4 linked regions of the Callithrix jacchus genome follow. The protein of the gene in region 4 purifies or fractionates together with the protein of the main gene of each other region. This does not show direct contact. Links are inferred from orthologs where the notes say so. Each region holds a gene or a part of one and is shown on either strand. Other genes may lie near its edges.

Evidence for each region.
Region 1: the proteins of SLF2 (region 4) and SMC5 purify together in Homo sapiens (affinity purification with mass spectrometry; 3 studies listed by BioGRID and IntAct, with this or other methods). This does not show direct contact. The link is inferred for Callithrix jacchus from reciprocal best matches to the Homo sapiens genes SLF2 and SMC5.
Region 2: the proteins of SLF2 (region 4) and SLF1 purify together in Homo sapiens (co-immunoprecipitation; 3 studies listed by BioGRID and IntAct, with this or other methods). This does not show direct contact. The link is inferred for Callithrix jacchus from reciprocal best matches to the Homo sapiens genes SLF2 and SLF1.
Region 3: the proteins of SLF2 (region 4) and RAD18 purify together in Homo sapiens (affinity purification with mass spectrometry; 3 studies listed by BioGRID and IntAct, with this or other methods). This does not show direct contact. The link is inferred for Callithrix jacchus from reciprocal best matches to the Homo sapiens genes SLF2 and RAD18.

Annotation. Positions count from the first base shown.
Region 1 is NC_133502.1:94,614,713-94,619,712, forward strand, and holds the start of SMC5 (structural maintenance of chromosomes protein 5), read right to left. Parts: upstream 3,231-5,000; 5' UTR 3,120-3,230; coding exon 2,935-3,119; intron 1-2,934. UniProt on the Homo sapiens protein: Core component of the SMC5-SMC6 complex, a complex involved in repair of DNA double-strand breaks by homologous recombination.
Region 2 is NC_133503.1:116,037,015-116,041,918, forward strand, and holds the start of SLF1 (SMC5-SMC6 complex localization factor protein 1), read right to left. Parts: upstream 3,231-4,904; 5' UTR 3,150-3,230; intron 2,969-3,149; exon of another isoform or gene 2,858-2,968; intron 2,798-2,857; exon of another isoform or gene 2,700-2,797; intron 1-2,699. UniProt on the Homo sapiens protein: Plays a role in the DNA damage response (DDR) pathway by regulating postreplication repair of UV-damaged DNA and genomic stability maintenance.
Region 3 is NC_133516.1:66,167,462-66,172,441, forward strand, and holds the start of RAD18 (E3 ubiquitin-protein ligase RAD18), read right to left. Parts: upstream 3,231-4,980; 5' UTR 3,144-3,230; coding exon 3,093-3,143; intron 1-3,092. UniProt on the Homo sapiens protein: E3 ubiquitin-protein ligase involved in postreplication repair of UV-damaged DNA. Postreplication repair functions in gap-filling of a daughter strand on replication of damaged DNA.
Region 4 is NC_133513.1:93,831,177-93,835,581, reverse strand, and holds part of SLF2 (SMC5-SMC6 complex localization factor protein 2), read right to left. Parts: intron 3,678-4,405; coding exon 3,634-3,677; intron 3,102-3,633; coding exon 2,365-3,101; intron 1,306-2,364; coding exon 1,248-1,305; intron 1-1,247. UniProt on the Homo sapiens protein: Plays a role in the DNA damage response (DDR) pathway by regulating postreplication repair of UV-damaged DNA and genomic stability maintenance.

The DNA.
Region 1 (5,000 bases), on a different chromosome or scaffold from region 4:
ATCAAGGAAAAAGGAGAACCCATCACAGTCAAGTTTCATCTTTTTCTATTTTTATCTCCTTGCCCTATTCTGTCCTCAGACCTCTAAATTCTACCTCTAATGTACTTCTCTCAATTTTTTGACTACAAATCCTTCTTTCTCTTAAGCCTTTGCATGTGTTATTCCTTCAGCCTCCAAGTCTCTTCCTCCATGCCCAACTCCATTTGACTTGGTTCAGTCACTACTCTCTTCCAGGCTATTTAAATTCTCTGACTACTCCTCCCTATTTCCTTGCTAATTCTCTAAGCCTACTTTTCTCTACCTCATGCCTAAAACTCCAAGTCCACTCATTAAAATAAACAATATCTCACCTGCCTCTGCACTTCCAGCTATCTTTTCTTTCTTCTCTTTGCATCCAAGTTTTACTTTCTCACCCTCATTCATTCTTCTATGACCTGCAAAGTTTTCTGCTTCCACTGCGCTTCATTAAAGGGTCAAAGATTTCCCAATTGCTAAATGCAGTGGGCTCTTTTCAGTTCCATTATTTGACTTCAGTGTAGCAGGTGTTATTTTTGAAATCTTTTTTCCTTGGCTTCTTTGATAATTGTCTCCTAATGTTTTCATCTAAACTTTCCTGAATAGTTCCTTCTCACTTTGAGTTCTTCTTCAGCTCCCCCTTAAAAGTAGGCATTCTCCCAAGGCTCTGTACATGATCTTCTAGCCCTTCAATTTACAATTCCTAATGGGCAATCATAACCAGTTCTGCAACTTCATCAATCACCGGTATGCATGACTTCCAAATCTTTCACCTGTTCACTTTTTCCTCTAATCTCCAGACTCTCACATTCTATCCACACAACATCCCTCTTAGATGCCCCAAAGGAAACTGCCTATAGAACATCTCTCTTTGTACCCCAAAGCCACAGTATCTAACAGGCATTTATTATTATTCTCCTCAAACTACTCCCTCTTCTGAATAGCAGCTGACCAATAAGCTAAGGCAGAGACTTGGGAAAAACACTGCATTCCTTCCTTTCCCTGCCTCACAATTATTCTGTAGCTGGATCCTGTCAAATCTCATTCATTTACGCTCTGATTATCTCTGGCCTTCATACTGTAAGTCTTCTTGCCTCTAATCTTGCACACTTTCTAAACATCCTTCACAGTGCTTCCAGATTAATATAAAACACATGTCATTCCCTGTTGAAAACACACCGTGGCTGCCTACAGGATGATGCTGGAACTTCTTAGCATAGTAAATGTACAGGCTCCTCAATGGTTGCCTACCCTCTGTCCACATACTCACTCACATCCTATATTTTTGCCATACTAAAATACCTGACACTTTCTAAATATACCAAACTATTTCAGAAAGTTCCTTCTGTCTTCAATACTCTTCACTTCTTTTAAGACTTTTCTGTCTTCTTAGGCGGGTGCAGTGGCTCATGCCTGTAATCCCAGCACTTTGGGAAGCTGAGGTGAGTTGCTTGAGCCCAGAAGTTCAAGAAAAGCCTGAGCAACATAGTGAAACCTCATCTCTACAAAAAATTTTAAAAACATTAGCCAGGTGTGGTACGTGCCTGTACTCCCAGTTACTTGAAAGGCTGGGGTAGGAGAATCACTTGAGAAGGGGAGGTCCCAGGCTGCACTGAGCCCATATCATGCCATTGCGCTCCAGCATGGGCAACAGACCAAGACCACAGACTTTCATATCTTCTTTACAAAGCCCTTTCTCATACTTGTGGACAAAATTAACCACTTCATCCTTTGTGAAGGATCCTGATATATATGTTGTTATAAAACTGGGCAAAATAACCTATTGAGCTTCTTTCAGCAATGGAAATTATCAAGATACAGTTGTTATGAAGAAAGAATGAGTGCACTGTGTAAATAAAGCACCTAGTTCTGTACCTGGCACACAACAGGCGCTTGAAAAAAAAAAGTGGTATTGTTATTTCAATTCTGTTATATTTATTCCACTGTGTGCAAGCTTAAAAAAGACTTTCAGCCGGACGTGTTGGCTCACGCTTTCGGGAGGCAGAGGCGGGCAGATCACCTGAGGTCAGGAGTTCCAGACCTGCCTGGCCAACATGGTGAAAGCCCGTGTCTACTAAAAACAAAAAAATTAGCCGGGCGTGGTGGCGCGCGCTTTTAGTCCCAGCTACTCGGGAGGCTGAGGCAGGAGAATCACTTGAAATCAGAAGGCGAAGTTGCAGTGAGCCGAGACAGCGCCACTGCAGTCCAGCCTGGGGGATACAGCGACACTCCGTCTCAAAAACAAGACGACCTTGAACAAATGAACTGTGAGGTGCTAGACAAATACATGACATATTTTAAATATACTAAATTCTAAAGTTATAACTCGTTTTCTGAAGGGGAGAGGGAGGAACCAGGGACGAAAGTTGGATTTAGAGGGTGTCAAGGGTTTGTTTGTAGCGAGGTCCAACAATTGCCAGTAAAGTTTAATTTTTGTGTACACTCTAACCTCCCATCCTGAACAACCTTTACCGTCTTATCTCCTCCTCTCTGGCAAATGCCTACTCTGAGAATCTGCCACAGCATCACCATTACTCCGAATTAACTGTGCCTCCTCTTAAGTTCCAGGGACCAATACTTTTGTGAATTCCAGACCAGTGTGACCCTATGGACCGCGACTCCCAGCGGGGAGAGACCTACTCCCTAGTACAACCACTACCTGCTACATGACGCCCTTGGAAACGTTAGCGGACTAAATTTAAAAACCACATCACACAAGGCACACATATCCTACACCATACACGTCAATCTCCACAGGATACATAGAAAAATCCTTAAGGAAACCCCGGCACGAATTCATAGCCAGACCCACAAGCCAGGTACACACACACACACACACACACACACACCGCCCCGCGCAGCCGGCGCCCCCGGGCCCCCACGCCTCCACAGCCCCGGCGGGGCCTCCAGGACACTCACAGGAAGTTCTCCATCGAGATGCGGACGATAGAGCCTTCCACGAAGGGCCTGGACGACTGCAGCAGCGGCAACTGCGGGGCGGAATTCTTCCTCTTGCTCGGGACCTCTGACGAAGGGTCTCTTGGGAGAGCTCTCTTGGAAGCCTGGGGGCTTGCGGTGGACGTCTTTCTGCTCGGAGTCGCCATTCTGGCTTCCCCTGCGCCCCGCAGCGGCTTCCCTTCCCACCGTCCAGCAGCCCACGCGCCCAAGAGCCCAAGCGCCCCAGCGCCCGGCTCCCGCGCGAACTGCCGCGAACTGCTCCCGCGCGCTCGCGCCCGCGATCCCGTGCCTCGCCGCGCCTGCGCAGTTCAGGTCCGGAGGCGTCAGCAGGCCCGCCAACACTCTTCCAGCGCCCTGCGGCTGAATACCAGGCCCAGAGTGAGGGCGGAGACGCTGGCGGGACTAGATGAAGGCCTGGGGGGATGTGACAACAGGACTTTCTAATCTGTACATTTTGGCATTTTTTCAGTTCTTTTTTTTTTTTTTTTTAACTCAGGAAAAGAAGTAATTGCATTTAGTATTCTGAAAGCCATTTTTTTGCTTCCCGAGCCTCAGTCATGTGTGGTGGGAGGTGGCGGCGGGAGGCTGCTGAGGGTGGCACCTGGGGCGCCCAGTGCCGCCAAGGCGGGGGAGAAGTAAGGCTCTGCTTGCTCCCACCCCTTCCAGGGGTCCGCCGGAGAGCTCCCGTGCATGCCCGTCCTTGGCTCTTCGACTTCCCCGTTGCTTCAAGTCAGATCCCCTTCTCAAAAACCCGAAAAAGAAACCCTCCCAAATGGCTCTGTGCCCGACGCTTCGTTGAGGCATCTTTCTAGGCGTTCTCAAACTCGTGAAAAGACTACACTACACAGATCACCCTCATTGCTTCTCTTACCCCGGCCTCCTAATTCTCTCGTTTAACTCCCCCCGCCCCCCGAGGTTTCTAGAAATCCCTGCTACCTTCATTAAGAGAGTGGTTCTGCTTCCGTCTGCTCACATTCATCTCACCTTCATCTAGTGAGCCCCCTCATTAAAGAGGAGGCGCACGGAGGCCTGCATAGATCTTCCTTCATTCAACCAACAATGAATGTCTAATCTACTAGAAACTGGAGCTGTGGCAGTTTAGGAGCCTGCCGAGGTTGCATCCCTGGGAGCTTAATTTCTAGTCGGGGAGAGAGGAAAAGAACAAGTGAATCAACAAGTGAACTGTGAAATTAAATAATTCAAACTTAAAGCTGTTAGAACTTTAAATTATTCTGAGCCTTGAGTAGAATGTGGCTATGGGGTCTGTGTCCCATGACGAACAGCTGCAACTGTTTCCTTGTTTTTTCCTGTAAATAGGAAGACCAGAGACAAAGACCCCTTCTTCATAAATTAATATAGTTATAATATTAATATAGCTATATTCCTTGGAATGTAGCTATATATAACTAATCTAATCTTTGTAATTTATGCACTGGTCTTGTATGGAAAATGTACTCCTGCTGAACCTTCTTTGTCTCTGCCTATGAAAATGAAACCTTAACTTCACCTTGGAACATTGACCCTGTTTGTTTGGCGGCAGTGTTTCCAGGTGGCTGTCCTCAAGCTTTTCATTAGAATAAATGCTACACTTAATGACATTCTGAATTCCACTACTTAAGGTCGACACAACAAATGATCAGGATAATTTAAGACTATGATACGTGTTAGGAAGAAACCAAAATGAACCTGACCGGTGGGAGGTACGGAAGGCCTGTCAGAGGTGGTGATGTTTCTGCTTGAAGGACAAGAAGAAACTGTGAGATCTGAGAAAAGAGCATCCTAGGCAAAAGAATTTTGCTGGAATATTCCAGTGAGGACAAAAGCTCTGAGGTGGGAAGCTCAATTTGGCTGCAGAGCAGTGAACAAAGGTTGCATCGCAGAACCTTGTCCATCGTGAGAAAGTCTGAATTTTATTTTTAAAGCAATGGGAAGTCATTGCATAGTTTTTTTTTGTTTTTTGTTTTTTGTTTTTTTTGAGATGGAGTTTCGCTCTTGTTACCCAGGCTGGAGTGCAATGGTGCGATCTC
Region 2 (4,904 bases), on a different chromosome or scaffold from region 4:
TTTGAAAGAAAGTATGAATTAAATGAACTTAAAAGTTTCAGGGTTATTTTACTTTTAAGCAGTAGCATTCCCTTATAAGGTGAGAAAGAGTACATAGTACCTTACACAGATGTATTTTCCTTTAGTATATTCAAAGAGTCAATTACAAGAGTAACAGATGATGTTTCATTTTAGTTATATTTTTGAGGGATTTGTTTTGTTTAGGGTTTATTATTCAATGTCTACACATGATTTTTTATTTTACTTTTTAAAAATGTTTTCCTGGCTGGGTGTGGTGGTTCATATCTGTAACCCCAGCACACTGGGAGGCCGAGGTGGATCACAAGGTCAGGAGTTTGAGACAGCGTGGCCAATATGGTGAAATCCAGTCTACTAAAAATACAAAAAACAGGCGGGCACCTGCAGTCCCAGCTACTCCAGAGGCTGAGGCAGGAGAATCGCTTGAACCAGGAGGCAGAGGCTGCAGTGAGCTGAGATCAGGCCACTACACTCCAGCCTGGGTGACAGAGCAAGACTCCTTTCTCAATAAATAAATAAATTAAAGTAAAATAAAATAAAAATGTTTTCTTTAGGCTGGGCGCAGTGGCTCAGACCTGTAATCCCAGCACTTTGGGAGGCTGAGGTAGGTGGATCACCTGGGGTCGGGAGACCACCTGACCAACATGGAGAAACCCAGTCTTTACTAAAAATACAAAATTAGCCAGGCGTGGTGGTGCATGCCTGTAATCCTAGCTACACGGTTGGCTGAGGCAGGAAAATCACTTAAACCTGGGAGGCAAAGGTTGTGGTTGGTGAGCCGAGATGGTGCCATATGCACTCCAGCCTGGGCAACAAGAGCGAAACTCCGTCTCAAAAAAAAAAAAAAAAGTTTTCTTTAAATGGTGAAAACCCTACTTTAGAATAATATAATCAAGATACATATAATAAGGAAAATACTAATTAATAAAGCTATACTATTGGTTTCCCAAAAAGCAAAGTTTTTGAACAACATTGTAAATTTTGGATGCGTATTATGAAATATTAAGAGTTCTGAATTTTGATTATGAAGAGTAACCACATTTGACGGTGATTTCAATGACTTTCTCGTGCTATATGCTTTAGGGAAGAAAATGTTACGTCATATAATTCAATTTAATCAATAATGCGTAATAAAATATGAATATAGAAAACAGAATAGGGGTTTATTTGCAGTACTGAAGGTTAGCTGTCTTTACAACAAAATTGACTTAAACATTCAAGTATTTGAACATCCTAGTTCCTTTAAATTAAGAATACTGAGTAAACTTAGAAATAATGAAATTTGGCCGGGCCTGGTGGCTTACACCTGTAATCTCAGCACTTTGGGAGGTCGAGTAGGGCGAAATCACTTGAGGTCAGGAGTTCGAGACCAGCCTGGTCAACATGATGAAACAACATCTCTATTTAAAATACAAACAGCTGCGCGCGGTGGTGCGCACCTGTAATCTCAGCTACTTGGGAGGCTGAGATAGGAGAATTGCTTAAACCTGGGAGGCGGAGGTTGCAGTGAGCCAAAATCGCATCACTGCACTCCAGCCCGGGCGACAGAGCAAGGCTCTGTCTCAAAACAAACTAACAAAACAAAATGAATGAATGAATGAATGAATGAAATTTACTCCCTTATATATAAATCCACTTCAAACTAGCAACTTACATATTGAACACCTGCAATATACGTAATCAAACTTTCCAACAATGAGAACATCTTGCACATCCACAGATACTTCCACGAATTGAGGCACAACGGAATAACATAAACCAAAAAGTCCAACAGGTGAATTGTCTGTCACATATAAATTGTAAATTCAGTTCAGTTGTTCATTCCCAACGTCTCAACAACACATTTTTCTCTTTAATAAGAGTAATTCGTCAAAAAGGCTGCCCAGTCCAAAATCAAGCTCCATGTAACACCTGAGTCAAATAATGGTATTAAGTACCCAAGACAGATCAATTTTTTTTTTTTTTTGTCAATATTTAATCTGAGGCTTTGGAAGTGGAAGAAATCTTAAAATAACCACTTAGTCTTGTTTCCAGCCTTCAAGCAGCTGAAATAGAATCCCCAGAAACACAGACCCTCCCGCCAGGGAAACGTGTATGTGTATATGTGTTTAAAGGCCTATAGCAGTCAGAGATAGGATGACTGCCGTTTGGGTATGTCAAAAAAAAATTCTACTAGAGAGGAAAGAATAACACAATTTTCTTCGTCACAGGACGGTGGGCCGGGGGGAACCCAGCCACCTTCGAAGACGCAAAGTTATGGAAAGCAGCCAAAACTCTGGGATCTGGGTGAGGCGTCCCCATCGGTTCTATGGAAACGAGAGACGCGGGGGGCCTAGTGCCTTCCAAGCGGCGGACCTAGCTGCAGAGCTGCGCAAGCAGCAGCGGGGGAAGCGGCTCAGCCCAGTACTGCAGAGAGGCACTCGGTGCCGGTCCCCGCCGAGGCGAGCGTCGCGGGGTCTGCAGCAGCAGCCCATCACACCAATTCCAGCGCCAAGGGCGAAGTCGGGAGGGCGGGAAAAAACAGCTGCAGGTGGCAAGAGCCAGACACCGCCGCCGCTCACCTCAGCCGCAACCTTCCCAGCCTCAGAGCCGGAGGGAAGATACTTAGAGGGTACAGATCGGGGAAGAAACATCCCAACAGAGACAGAATACACTGTGTCTTCCAAGCTGAGCCCCTTTACCTTCCCGGCCGAAGTGTGTGGGATGCCTTCCTCGGGTGGCGACTGCAAGAGCGACGACTGCCGCTGCAGCACTCAACTGCTTCACTAATCCGGGCTCTGGGAAATAATTTCCCGCCGCGCGCTAGGCAGCCCCGGAAGCGACAGTATCATTTCCGGGTGGTTGTCAGTGACGCTCTGGAGCCGTCGCCAGGGTGTCATAGCTGTTGCCGGGCTTGAGTCCGGCCAACGGGTCAGGCTCCCGCTAGATCACCACTGGAGGTAAAAGACTGGTAAGTGATTTTACTGGGTTGCCTCCTGGGCTTGATATTAATGGCTGGCCAGGGCTATCTGCAGCATTTTGGCCAGCCCCAGAAGTGAGTGGGCGAGGGTTGAACCAGAAGGAGTCCCCATCCAACCCCGTGGCGTTTGACACCCTGCGCTGCTGGAGAAGGCCTTGGGATCCCGGCTTACCGTCTTCTCCACTCGCAAAACCTGTCTCCGACTTGGAACTCGACCTCGAGTCCCCAAGTGTCCCTGGGCGAGGCCGAAGACACCGTATATGGTGACTCGGCGTGATGCCGAGTTTCTCTGCCAATGATCAACGAGTGTCCTATCTCCCATTGGCAGCGTTTGGCCACTCTCGATTCCTCAGTACTGTTTCCGTAGTTCTGGGTTGCCATGCCTGGGAGGCAGGCGGTTGGCTGAAGAAGACATCTTTTACAAACATTTGGAAGTGAGATGGGGAGGTTCCTTCCTGCTTTAAAATTAATTGAAGGTTCCCCCTGCCGTTTGAATTGGATGAGAAGAACGGTCTTTGTTTCCTGGCTGAGACACGAGAAAACAAGCTTGTCATTTCATGCTTGGACATTAGATGCATTTTTGGATGGCAGTGATCAGTAAGTAGGTGTGCTTTCAGAAAGAAATGCTTGCGCTCTGCTCCAGGCTTTGTCAATAATGAAGGATTCGGGAGAATTTTAGATGGAGGTCTGAGGTAGCCAGAATAGTTGTAAAGAGAAATTGCTTCCGACAAAGGGAGGAAAGGTGATCATTTAAGATTTGAAAGTTGTGATGTAGTGAACCTTGGCGACTTCTCTTAAGTAATGCAGTTTCTTAGGTAAGTAGTTTTCACCTGCCACCTTGTATTTAAATAATTACCTCCCACCAACCCCCATAAAAGGCAGCTAATTAATTTTTTTTTTAAACAGTCAGTTCCCAAGAGAGTTGTAGGTACTATTGCATTTTTCTTTATGGGTATGCTCCCCATACCCATAAAAACATTTTCTTTATGAGAGCATACTCATAAAGAAAAATGCAATATGTTTAATTCAAGGCCCCTGTTACATCAGGCCAGTGCCTTCTTACCTTTTGAAAATAATGCAACCATTTTTAGGACAGCACATTGATTTTCTAACCTTATTGGTTAATAATTCAACAAACTTATAATCTCCCCCATTGATTCCAATTTTGACATTTTGTTGAATCTTGTGTGCTTGCTTTATTTCTCCAGTTTAAAGTATGAAAAATTTTTTCAGGGCGATTATGTGTTATTTCTGCACAGCAACTAGTTTTTAGAGGCAGTGCTTTATCTCTATTAATTGCTCTTGAATGTAGCCAATCATTAATACTTACCCCAAGTAGATATTATCTGCCAGGCACTTTACATTTATTCTTTTATTTAATGCTTAATAAAGAAAATCACAAAAATTGTGTTATTTCTATTTTGCAAACAGACTCAAAGAGGTTGGTGATTTTCCACAAATTATATAATTAAATAGCACAATTAAAACTTGAATCTAGACTACCTGACTCTAAATTTTGTCTCTTTACTGTGCTCTATACCTTTATGAGTAAACAAAACAGTATCATTTTCACTTGCAGGTGAATTTGGATAGATAGTATGTCACATTTACAAACCAAGTGGATAGCAAAACTTGAGGATAAAGGGACTTACTGGATGTGTTCATCACCGTGAGGTAATTTTAACACGTGAATAATGCAGTTTCTTTACTGCCTTTATTCTTGGCCAGTTTTATTATCCTAATTCAAACACATGCCTATACTGTACATTGACATAACACTTGGGGCAAATACAGAAGATTTAGAGATCATCAGCATATTGGTGACTCTGAGTCCAGAGTATCAGCTATCTTTTTAGGCAGGTTTTCACACACACACACATTTGTATACATGTATCTATGTGTGTGTGTGTGTGTGTGTTTAGGGAGA
Region 3 (4,980 bases), on a different chromosome or scaffold from region 4:
TTCCAGCTACTCAGGAGGCTAAGGCGGAAGGATCACTTTAGGCCAGGAGTTCAAGGCAGCAAGCAGCCTGGGTGACGGTGAGACCCTATCTCAAAAAAAAAAAAAGTATCTATTTTCATCAGAAATACAAACAAATTATGAGAAGATAATAATAAAAATGATCAGGGCCAGGAACACGGTAAGAAGGAAACTTTTACTTTTCACTTCATGTGTATCCTGAACCAAGTGAACCTATTATCTGAATTTTTAAAATTTATACAAAAAAAAGACTAATGTTGCCAACAGTCCATATGATGAAATATTATGCAACCATTAAAAAACATGCTTTCAAAGAATATTTAATGCCATAGGAAAATAAAAATCAGAAAATAAATATATGCCAATAATACATAATAATGGCAACTCTGTAGTTTAATCTTCATGGCAATCTTATAAAGTCCACAGCATCAGTACCCCAATTTTAAAAACAAAGCCTTCAGAGTTCCTAGGTTGGCTGAATCAAACCCAAGAAGTTGACTCCACAATGATCCCAAATTTTAAATGCGTAAAAACTGAAGGAAAATAAGGTAAAATGTTAAACACTGGTTCTCTGGGTGGTAGGATTACAGATGATTTTCTTTTTCACCTTTATCTTACTCTGAATTTTAATTTTTTTCTACTGTGTACACCTATTACATTTACAATATGCCAAAAAGAGTCCAATTTTGCTAAAATAAAACCAGGGAAATAATAAAATGCCAAAATCTTCCATTATTGTGGATGGTAAGCTGTCACAGACACAAAAATCTAGAGGGTTAATGTTAAAGATCAATTAAGATCAGAGGCAGGCCCAGAAGCCGGAACCAGTCTGTCATACCACTCTTTCTTATCTATGCCATTCTCTTCGGTGGAGTAATGATTCAGAAAGATCTGCAGAGCACAATTTGTGGAAGTTGACACTCCATAAGATGAGCTATTTCGGGTTCAAATTTCTGGTCATGTCTCTCCAAGACTGTAATATGCGTATCACATGTGCCTCAACCAACCAAACAAAAAACGATGCCTGAATAGAGAGTGGTCAGCAGACACCCCAAAATGTCTTTAGTTTAGAGAGAGAGAAAGTGAAAGGGAGTAGAAAATGGGTAGAAAAACATAATACTTACAAAAATACCCAAGTTTTTGGGGTTACAGATCCCTTTGAAAATTAGATGAAAACTATGGACTCTATTCTCAGAAAAACATATATACGAAAATTCTACAAATAACTTGAGACTCCGAAGTCTTTCTACGGATCCTAAGTCAGGAACCATGCATTCTGAGTCAGACTTCTATTAGAAGTAACTTTAGTCAGATCCACTTCTGGGATCTGATAGTTCTTTGTCCCTGGAAGAGTTCAAGCAAAAATTAGGTGAGAAATTGGCAGATATGTTATAAAAGAGTTTAAAATAATGAAGGAGGCTGGTTTCCAAACCTTAAGATTCTATGATTCTAATGTGAGCAAAAAATATGGGCTCAATCAACTCTCTGGTTGAACAATCACTGAACACTCTGTGGTATCAAACTCTATATTCAGTGCCGTGGTGAGATACCAAAGTCAGAGAAGACATGGAACCTGCCTCTAAAGAACACTGAAATTGTGGGAATATGTAAAATATGCTTAAATCTACAAAGCAGGAGCTTTACAGGTTACAGAGTTCTTTTACTTTCCTTATCCAAATCAAGCTTCATGACAACAAATTAAAAGGGGAGAGAAGCACTTAGCACAGTGCTAATAATAGTAATAAAATATATTCATTGAATGCTTACTACATTCCAGATACTTTCAATCAAGCAGCAAATAATACTTGAGCACTCACTTTCTGTCAGGCACCGCATCAAGCACAATGAATAAGCCTGCAGAATCTGCACCCACACACATGAACTCATTTATTTAATCAACCCTATGAACTGTTTATTTTTGTCTCTAATTTATAGTTGAAGAAATTCAGGCTCAGAGAGGTTATGTTACTAACTGAAGGTCACACAGCTAAGAGGCAGAGATCAGATTTCACCCAGGACCACTAGAATTCAAATCTGTGCTCTTTTCCACGGCATCTTGGTGCCAAGCCCATCACAACTTCGAAACCACCGCTTTCCTGGATCCTTTCACAATGTCAGCTTCTCGTCATGCAGATATCTCAAGTCCCCAAGACCTCTAAATATCACGGATGACAGCAGGAAGAACAAGGCCTTATACTTATTTTAGCCTTCACTTAATTCTAAAGTCAACTTTATGAGCCAGTGGGACAGATACTATAATCCCCAAGACTACAAAACTGAGGAAGAGAAAAAGGCTATCTTAGCCACTGTCAGAAACAAAAATAATCACAGAGCAAAAAGAAACACCAAACAACTGACTTTTAGCCAGCACGGGAATGTGCATCTGCTCTTGAGCAAATCCAGGGACCACCACTACGTAAATGGAAACTGTTGCCTTGCCAAAACAGAAAGTGGCTACAAAAATAAGTGTTATTTAACTGAAATAATTCGATGCAATGAAAGATGACTGCTGAATCTTGATCTTTGTTTAAAAGACAGAGAGATGAGCAATTGTTACAGAAGAGATAGGACGTGTGAGGGAGGAGCTGGGGCAGTATGTCGGTACAAACCAGCAGTAGGTTTATTGAGAATAATCAGAAGAGCCTGTAAAGGAGACTACCTGCTTGGCTACGTGATTACATACATGTTACTTGATAAAGTGTCCACCCAAAATCATGTCCGGTGTCACTGTTTAGTGCTTGACACAAAGTAAGCTTTCAGTGAAGGTTAGCTGACAATGTCATTGTTTAGAACAGCTGTTTTTCTCCATGTTACTGTTCGGATTGGATCGCAGAATATCTGGTTCCATTAGACTGTCAACCTCAGCTCACCAAGCTTGTCCTTGTCACTTATCAAAGGAGTAAACTGAGACCCAGAGCCACGCGGTCGGCTAGTGACAGAGCAGAGCCGGGTACTATGGCCCAGTGCGACTCTCGCGCCTCATTTTTTCTCCTCAAGGCGAGGACATCCTCCTCAAAGGGAGGGACCGCCCCCCGCAGGCACCCGGGAGCCCCCAACCTCCCCGAAGCACTCACCTTCATAACTGCCAGGCCCGGCGGCCACCGAGGCTCGGTTAGGGAGTCCATGGTCGCTCCTGAAGATGCTGGGGTCTACCACTCAACTAGCCTCCGGCGCTCCAATACCACTCGAAATTCCCCGCGCTATCGCATTACGTCACAACCCGCGACGCGCCAGAGGCGGGCGCGGAGCCTGCCGGAAATTGTAGTAGGATGTGGGCGGGGCGCTGCTGATGGTGCTTGTACTGCGCCTGCGCTAGGCTATGTCCGCTACTGTGTAATATCTCTCCCATATTACAACACTGGGAGGTAGGTGTTATCATTGTCAGTTTACACAAGCGGAAACTACTCCGGAAAAGCTGAATAGAGTTTCGAGTCAGATTCGAAACAGGACCTCTGGAGTTTAAATAGGAGCTCTTCCTTTTAATCATATTAAAATTTTAATGTACAGTTTTTCTTCAGAGAGAAGCACTATTAACTTCGGCATATAGCCTTCCAGATATTTCCTATGCAAATTGGCAAAGATTCTTGGCTTGACCAAACTTTAGTCAGGCTCCTGAACCTTCTCCTAGGCCAATCTGTGTACTTCGTGATAAAATCCAGTTTTAGCAAAGAACTCTGCTAAATCAAGTTAGCAATATCCCCACCCTTGAATCCTTGCCCTTGATATTCCCACCAAGTTAGCAAGAATCTGGGAAGGGACATTTCGGAATCCATATAGGCTCATGGCAAAATCCGAATATCCCACAATAAAAACTAGAAACCAGCTATCTGAAAATGCCTTGCAATGTGTGGATTCTCACACAGTTGAAACCTCTGTTTTGATTCAGTAGGTTGGAAACACTCTTTTTGTAGAATCTAGGAAGGGACATTTTGGAGCCCATTGAGGCTTAAGATGAAGAACACGCCCCACGTGGTCCATGCACTGATTCATTTCACAAATATTTTCTGAATGCTTACAACGGGCCAGGCACTTGAGCTTTCTTGGGAAGCAGGCAGAGATTAGACTGTTATGGCCATCTTACAAATGAGGACACTGAGGCTCAGAAAGCTTAAGACTTCACTCCTCTGAGTTCTCTTCATAAGAACCCTCTAGTCTCTTAGCCAAAGCTGTATTCAATTGATTTTTCCCAGCTTGCACCCAAATACTTACTGGGCAGTAATATTAATACTAATAGCATTTAGAGAAAGGACTTTAGACTTTGGAGGCTGAGGCGGGTGGATCACAAGGTCAAGAGATCAAGACCATCCTGGTCAACATGGTGAAACCCCGTCTCTACTAAAAATACAAAAAATCAGCTGGGCATGGTGGCGCGTGCCTGTAATCCCAGCTACTCAGGAGGCTGAGGCAGGAGAATTGCCTGAACCCAGGAGGCGGAGGCTGCAGTGAGCCAAGATCGCGCCATTGCACTCCAGCCTGGGTAAGAAGAGCGAAACTCCGTCTCAAAAAAAAGAGAAAGGACTTTAGTATCCATTACAGTAGTAGCTGGCATTTATTAGGCACGTGTATGCAAAACACCATTCTAAGTTTTTTACACATATGCACTTATTTGACTTATTCACAAGGCACCCTGCTGGTAGTGGAAGATGAAAGATTTGAACTCAGTCTGGCTTGAGAGTCCATATTGACCACAACAGAATATTCTCATAAGGCCTTCATCATGAGAACTAAGTCTTAGAGAGGTAAAGGAATTCATATAAACCACAGTTTGTCAGTGGCATTATCCAGGATGGAACCTAGGTCTTTTAACCTAAAACCAGAAGAAATCACCCACTGATAATTTTTTGAGAAACAGTTAAGTAAACCAAGTCAAGGGGCAGAGCCAGGTCTGAGAATCTCAGGTTGTTGGACCTAGTGGGACTCCCAAAAGGAAGATGAGGAATGGAGGTTTATGGTGCCAACCCC
Region 4 (4,405 bases):
GGCTTTAGTCTTGGCTCAAAATTGATTTTACTAATCGAGAGTGCTTAATCAAAATGCAATGCACCTCTAAAATATAAATAAAATAAAGTAGTAGATGAAACCTGAAGGAGTTAGAACTGTCTCTCTGTACTTCCATTTCTAAAAGTAAACCACTGTATAAAGTTATGAGAATCAAATGAATTAAAAGCACATAAAACGGCATAGCACACTCTAAGTACTTAATAAAAGTCAGCTATTATTATCATGTCCAGTGTATTTTGCTGAATGTGAGAATTTGTCTGTTTTTCAAAATGTATAGTCATATCAGGAAAAAAATCCGATACACTAGACTATTAACTGTTGTTAGTTGTAGACACCTTTCGTTTCTTGTAAACTTCTGCAGTTTGATTTTTTAATATTCTATTTTCTAGTAAAAAAAATAAAATGTACTGAATTAACAGTAGGTTTGTTATTTTATTTTTTTTTCAATCAATAGATGATAAAAGTACAAACTAATGTCATGTAGACATCCCTGAAATTTAATATTAAAAAGGGATCCCTGTTTTTGAAATTATTAGAAAACACTGCTTTGGATCATGGTAACAGTTTCAACCTTACACAAAGCATCCTCAAGATAATACCAAGACCTCAGTCTATAACTCCAAGATTATAATATTACGTTTCTTGATGTAGCCAAGAATTCAGAAAGAGACAACAGTATGAGAAACATACTGTTAGGAACTCTTGAAGAAGGCAGAGAGAAGATTCAAGACAGATAACAAATTATACATATTAGGGCAGGTGTGGTGGCTCATACCTGTAATCCCAGTACTTTAGGAGGCTGAGACAGGAGAATCGCATGAGCCCAGGAGTTTGAGACCAGCCTGAGCAACACGGCAAAACCTCATCTCTACAAAAATACAAGAAACTATCCAGGCATGGTGGCCCACATCTGTAGTCCCAGCTACTCAGGAAGCTGAGGTGGGACAATCACTTGAACCCACCAGGTTAAGGATTACAGTGAGTCGTGATCACGCCCCTGCATCCCAGCCTGGGTGACAGAGTGAGACCCTGCCACAAAAACAAACCCAAATTATAAGCACTATATTCAGGGACCATTCTTCTTAAATATAATTTACCAAACTCTTAATTAATATGAGACTGAATTCATCCCCAAGAAGGGAACTGCATATTTAAACAAATTTCTTTTAAAAAGCCATTAAGATGAAAATTTATTTAGAAATTCAGAAATTTAATTTTGGTTCTACCTGAAGTAGGTTCCCATGAATCAGAAGAGGATCTTTTTCTTGAGAGATGTCCATTTTCCTATGAGCAAAATGAGATAAAATTAATTAAGTGTTGGGGACAGTAAAGAATGTGAAGGCATTCTTCCTAACATTTAAACACAGATTTCTAGATTGAATAAAGCAAGGACCCATATTTGGAGGTAAAGCCTAGTGTCTATAATAAAACATTTAAAGATCTTAAGGTTTTTATCATAAAAATTAAGGGCATTTATATCATAAAAATGTAAAAATATCATAAAAATGAACTCAGTTTTTATAATGCTAATTTACATGTTTACATCAATAACGCAAGACTAATATTATATTAGAACACTGTATTTTTGAGACAGGGTCTCACTCTGTCACCCGGGCTGGAGTACAATGGTGTGATCAAGCTCACTGCAACCTTCTCCCGGGCCTAAGTGAGCCTCCTAAGTAGCTAGGACAACAGGTGCATGCCACCAGAACTGTTGTTTTTTTTTTTTAACCTTTAGTAGAGCCGAGGTCTCGCTATGTTGCTCTGGCTATCTCAAACTCCTGAGCTCAAGCAATCCTTCCACCTCGGCCTCCCAAAGTGCAGGAAGCAGGAGGATTGCTTGCAGCCAGGAGTTCAAGAACAGCCTGGGCAATATAGGAAAACCCTGTCTCTACAAAAAATAAAAATATTAGTCAAATATGGTGGCATATGCCTGTAGTCTCAGCTATTTGGGAAGCTGAGGTAAAAGCATCATTTGAGCCCAGGAGTTTGAGACTGCAATGAGACATGATCTTGCCACAGCACTCCAGCATGAGTGACAGGGCAAGACTGTCTACACATAAATAAGACTATACTTGCCTTTAAAAAAAGTGTTTACTTTTCTGACTAAAAAAGATCTTCGCTCTTGGTCTGAAAAAACTAAGGATAAGAAACACTGCTTTACTGAATTCAGTGAAGGGCATGGAGGAAACCTAGTGAAACCAGCTTCTACACAAACTGTGCATAAGTATTTGCTTAAGGAAAGACATCAGTGTGATGTAACAACTCTTAAATATTTTAAAATTTAGTATTCTAAATATGATATAGCAGTAGCAATGCTAATTCAATCATTATTACACATACCACATTTGAAAGATTTGTCTTTCTAGGTATGACGTCATTCTGTTTACTTTGTTCCTGCCTTGGTTTGTATTTTCTTTCTATACTAGAAGATTTAAAGGAAAGATTGCTTGTTTCTGAGAAAGAATTTTCAGAGTTGATTCTCTGCTCCATTTGCTCCTTTCTCAACTTCTTTAGTTCTCGTTCTCTGCAGTAAGAAGCTAGTGACAACTGGAATTTAGCTCCCAATGGGCTTTCTCCCGGGTGGTGCCTGGACAGGCTGCTCCTGCTGCTGAGACTTCTGGAGCTGTTCTTGAAGATGTCAGCTTCTGCCACTGTGGTCTGCTTTTTGGAGTCTGCATTGGTTTTGCCTCGATCTCTATCATTCTTCTCCCTATTTTCATGAATGAATAGTGATTTCCTTCTCTCTGGGGATCGATGTTTTTTCTTTAGTGACTTCATCTCCTTTGGCAAGCAATATGAAGAAGGAACATAGATATTTGCTCCTTTGGCTAAATATTTGGAGGCTAGTGACACACAAGGCCGACGTGACTCACGTACACCATGATCTTTATGGCGCTCTTTAACACCACCTTTCATGAAAGCTTCGATAATAGGGCTCTTTTCTGGTGCCACCCTTTTGGGTTTAGATTTTTTTGGTGAGGATAGTTTCCTTTCAAACTGCTCTGTCCCAGTGATGGACAATCTACTTCCTCCATATTTGATGTTTGATTTTTGTGGTGAATCCAACATGTGTCTGTCTAAATAGCCAATTAAAACACATACAAATTGCATGTTACTAAAAATAAAATATTTAACATTTATCTCAATTATTAATTTTAATATACTAAATTAAACTACACCAATGTTACCACAAAAATTTTCAAGCCAATAACTTGGATAATGATACACACTTTATTGGGGGATATAAGAGAAATTAAGACAGAATTTATTTGCTAAAAGCCTTACTTTCATAAAGCTCTCTTTTGGTACATATAGCCTCCCTATGGCTCTATAAATTACTGTATTAGAGAGTGAAAACAGTACACGTTAAGAACATTAAATTTTTGACTAGAGTAATATTTTAAACATATGAAAACGTAACAGCAAAAAGACTTCCCTCATATTTAGAACTTGCTTATCCTTGTAAAAAAAAAAAACAACTGTATCTTCGTATTTTCAATTTTGAACACTACATTTACTAAAATAGCTTACAGTAGGTTTTAAAGTTGAATCTGTCTCACTCCTCACCCCCGAAATAGCCTACAAAAATTGTACCAATAGTGTACATACCTTGTTTTGAAGCTGGTTTGAAGAAATCTATAATTGACTGCTTCCTGAAAATAAAAGCATAATATAGCATCATATAAGCAAATATTAAAACCTCCATAATTCAGATTAAATGGAGAAAGTTAGATTTATAAAATGAAGGCTGGATTTCACTATTCAGTTTAAAATAAAGTTTTGACAATGATAATAATGCTTTGCTAAGCTGTTCATTTAAAAAACTGAAAATATAACGCATCACTTCCTATAGGAGTTCATTATAAAAATACAACTGAAGTTTATATTATTTATAGTTCTCAAATAGATAAGACAGGCATGTAGACCCAAGGAATTAGTACAGAGTGCTTCTTAGGACTGAAATGCTCACTGCTACATGGTAGAATGCAACATCTTGGGTATAAGCATTTGAACCTACTTGTTCTCTCCAGACATTCATACAAAATAACTACTTAGTACCTAAGCACAGCTGCATTTTAAAATTTAGAAAAGCTAAAACAAAACAAAACTCAATAGATGTATGCCAAAAGAATAATGAGGAGTCTAAAATGGAATAAAACCTGAACAGACTCTCATAACAAGAGAACAGTAGATGGTAGAATGGCAATATGGGTGATTTGGCTGATCTAGGGAGCCAGGTGAAGAGGAGTTCGCTGGACAAAGAAGATAAAAGTACCGAACTTACGCTACCCTCTTTGTACATTACTTTAAGATGTTAATCTAAGTAAGAGTAGATATTAGAATGAGTTGTAACAATTAAATAATTTCAAATTCTTAAGTT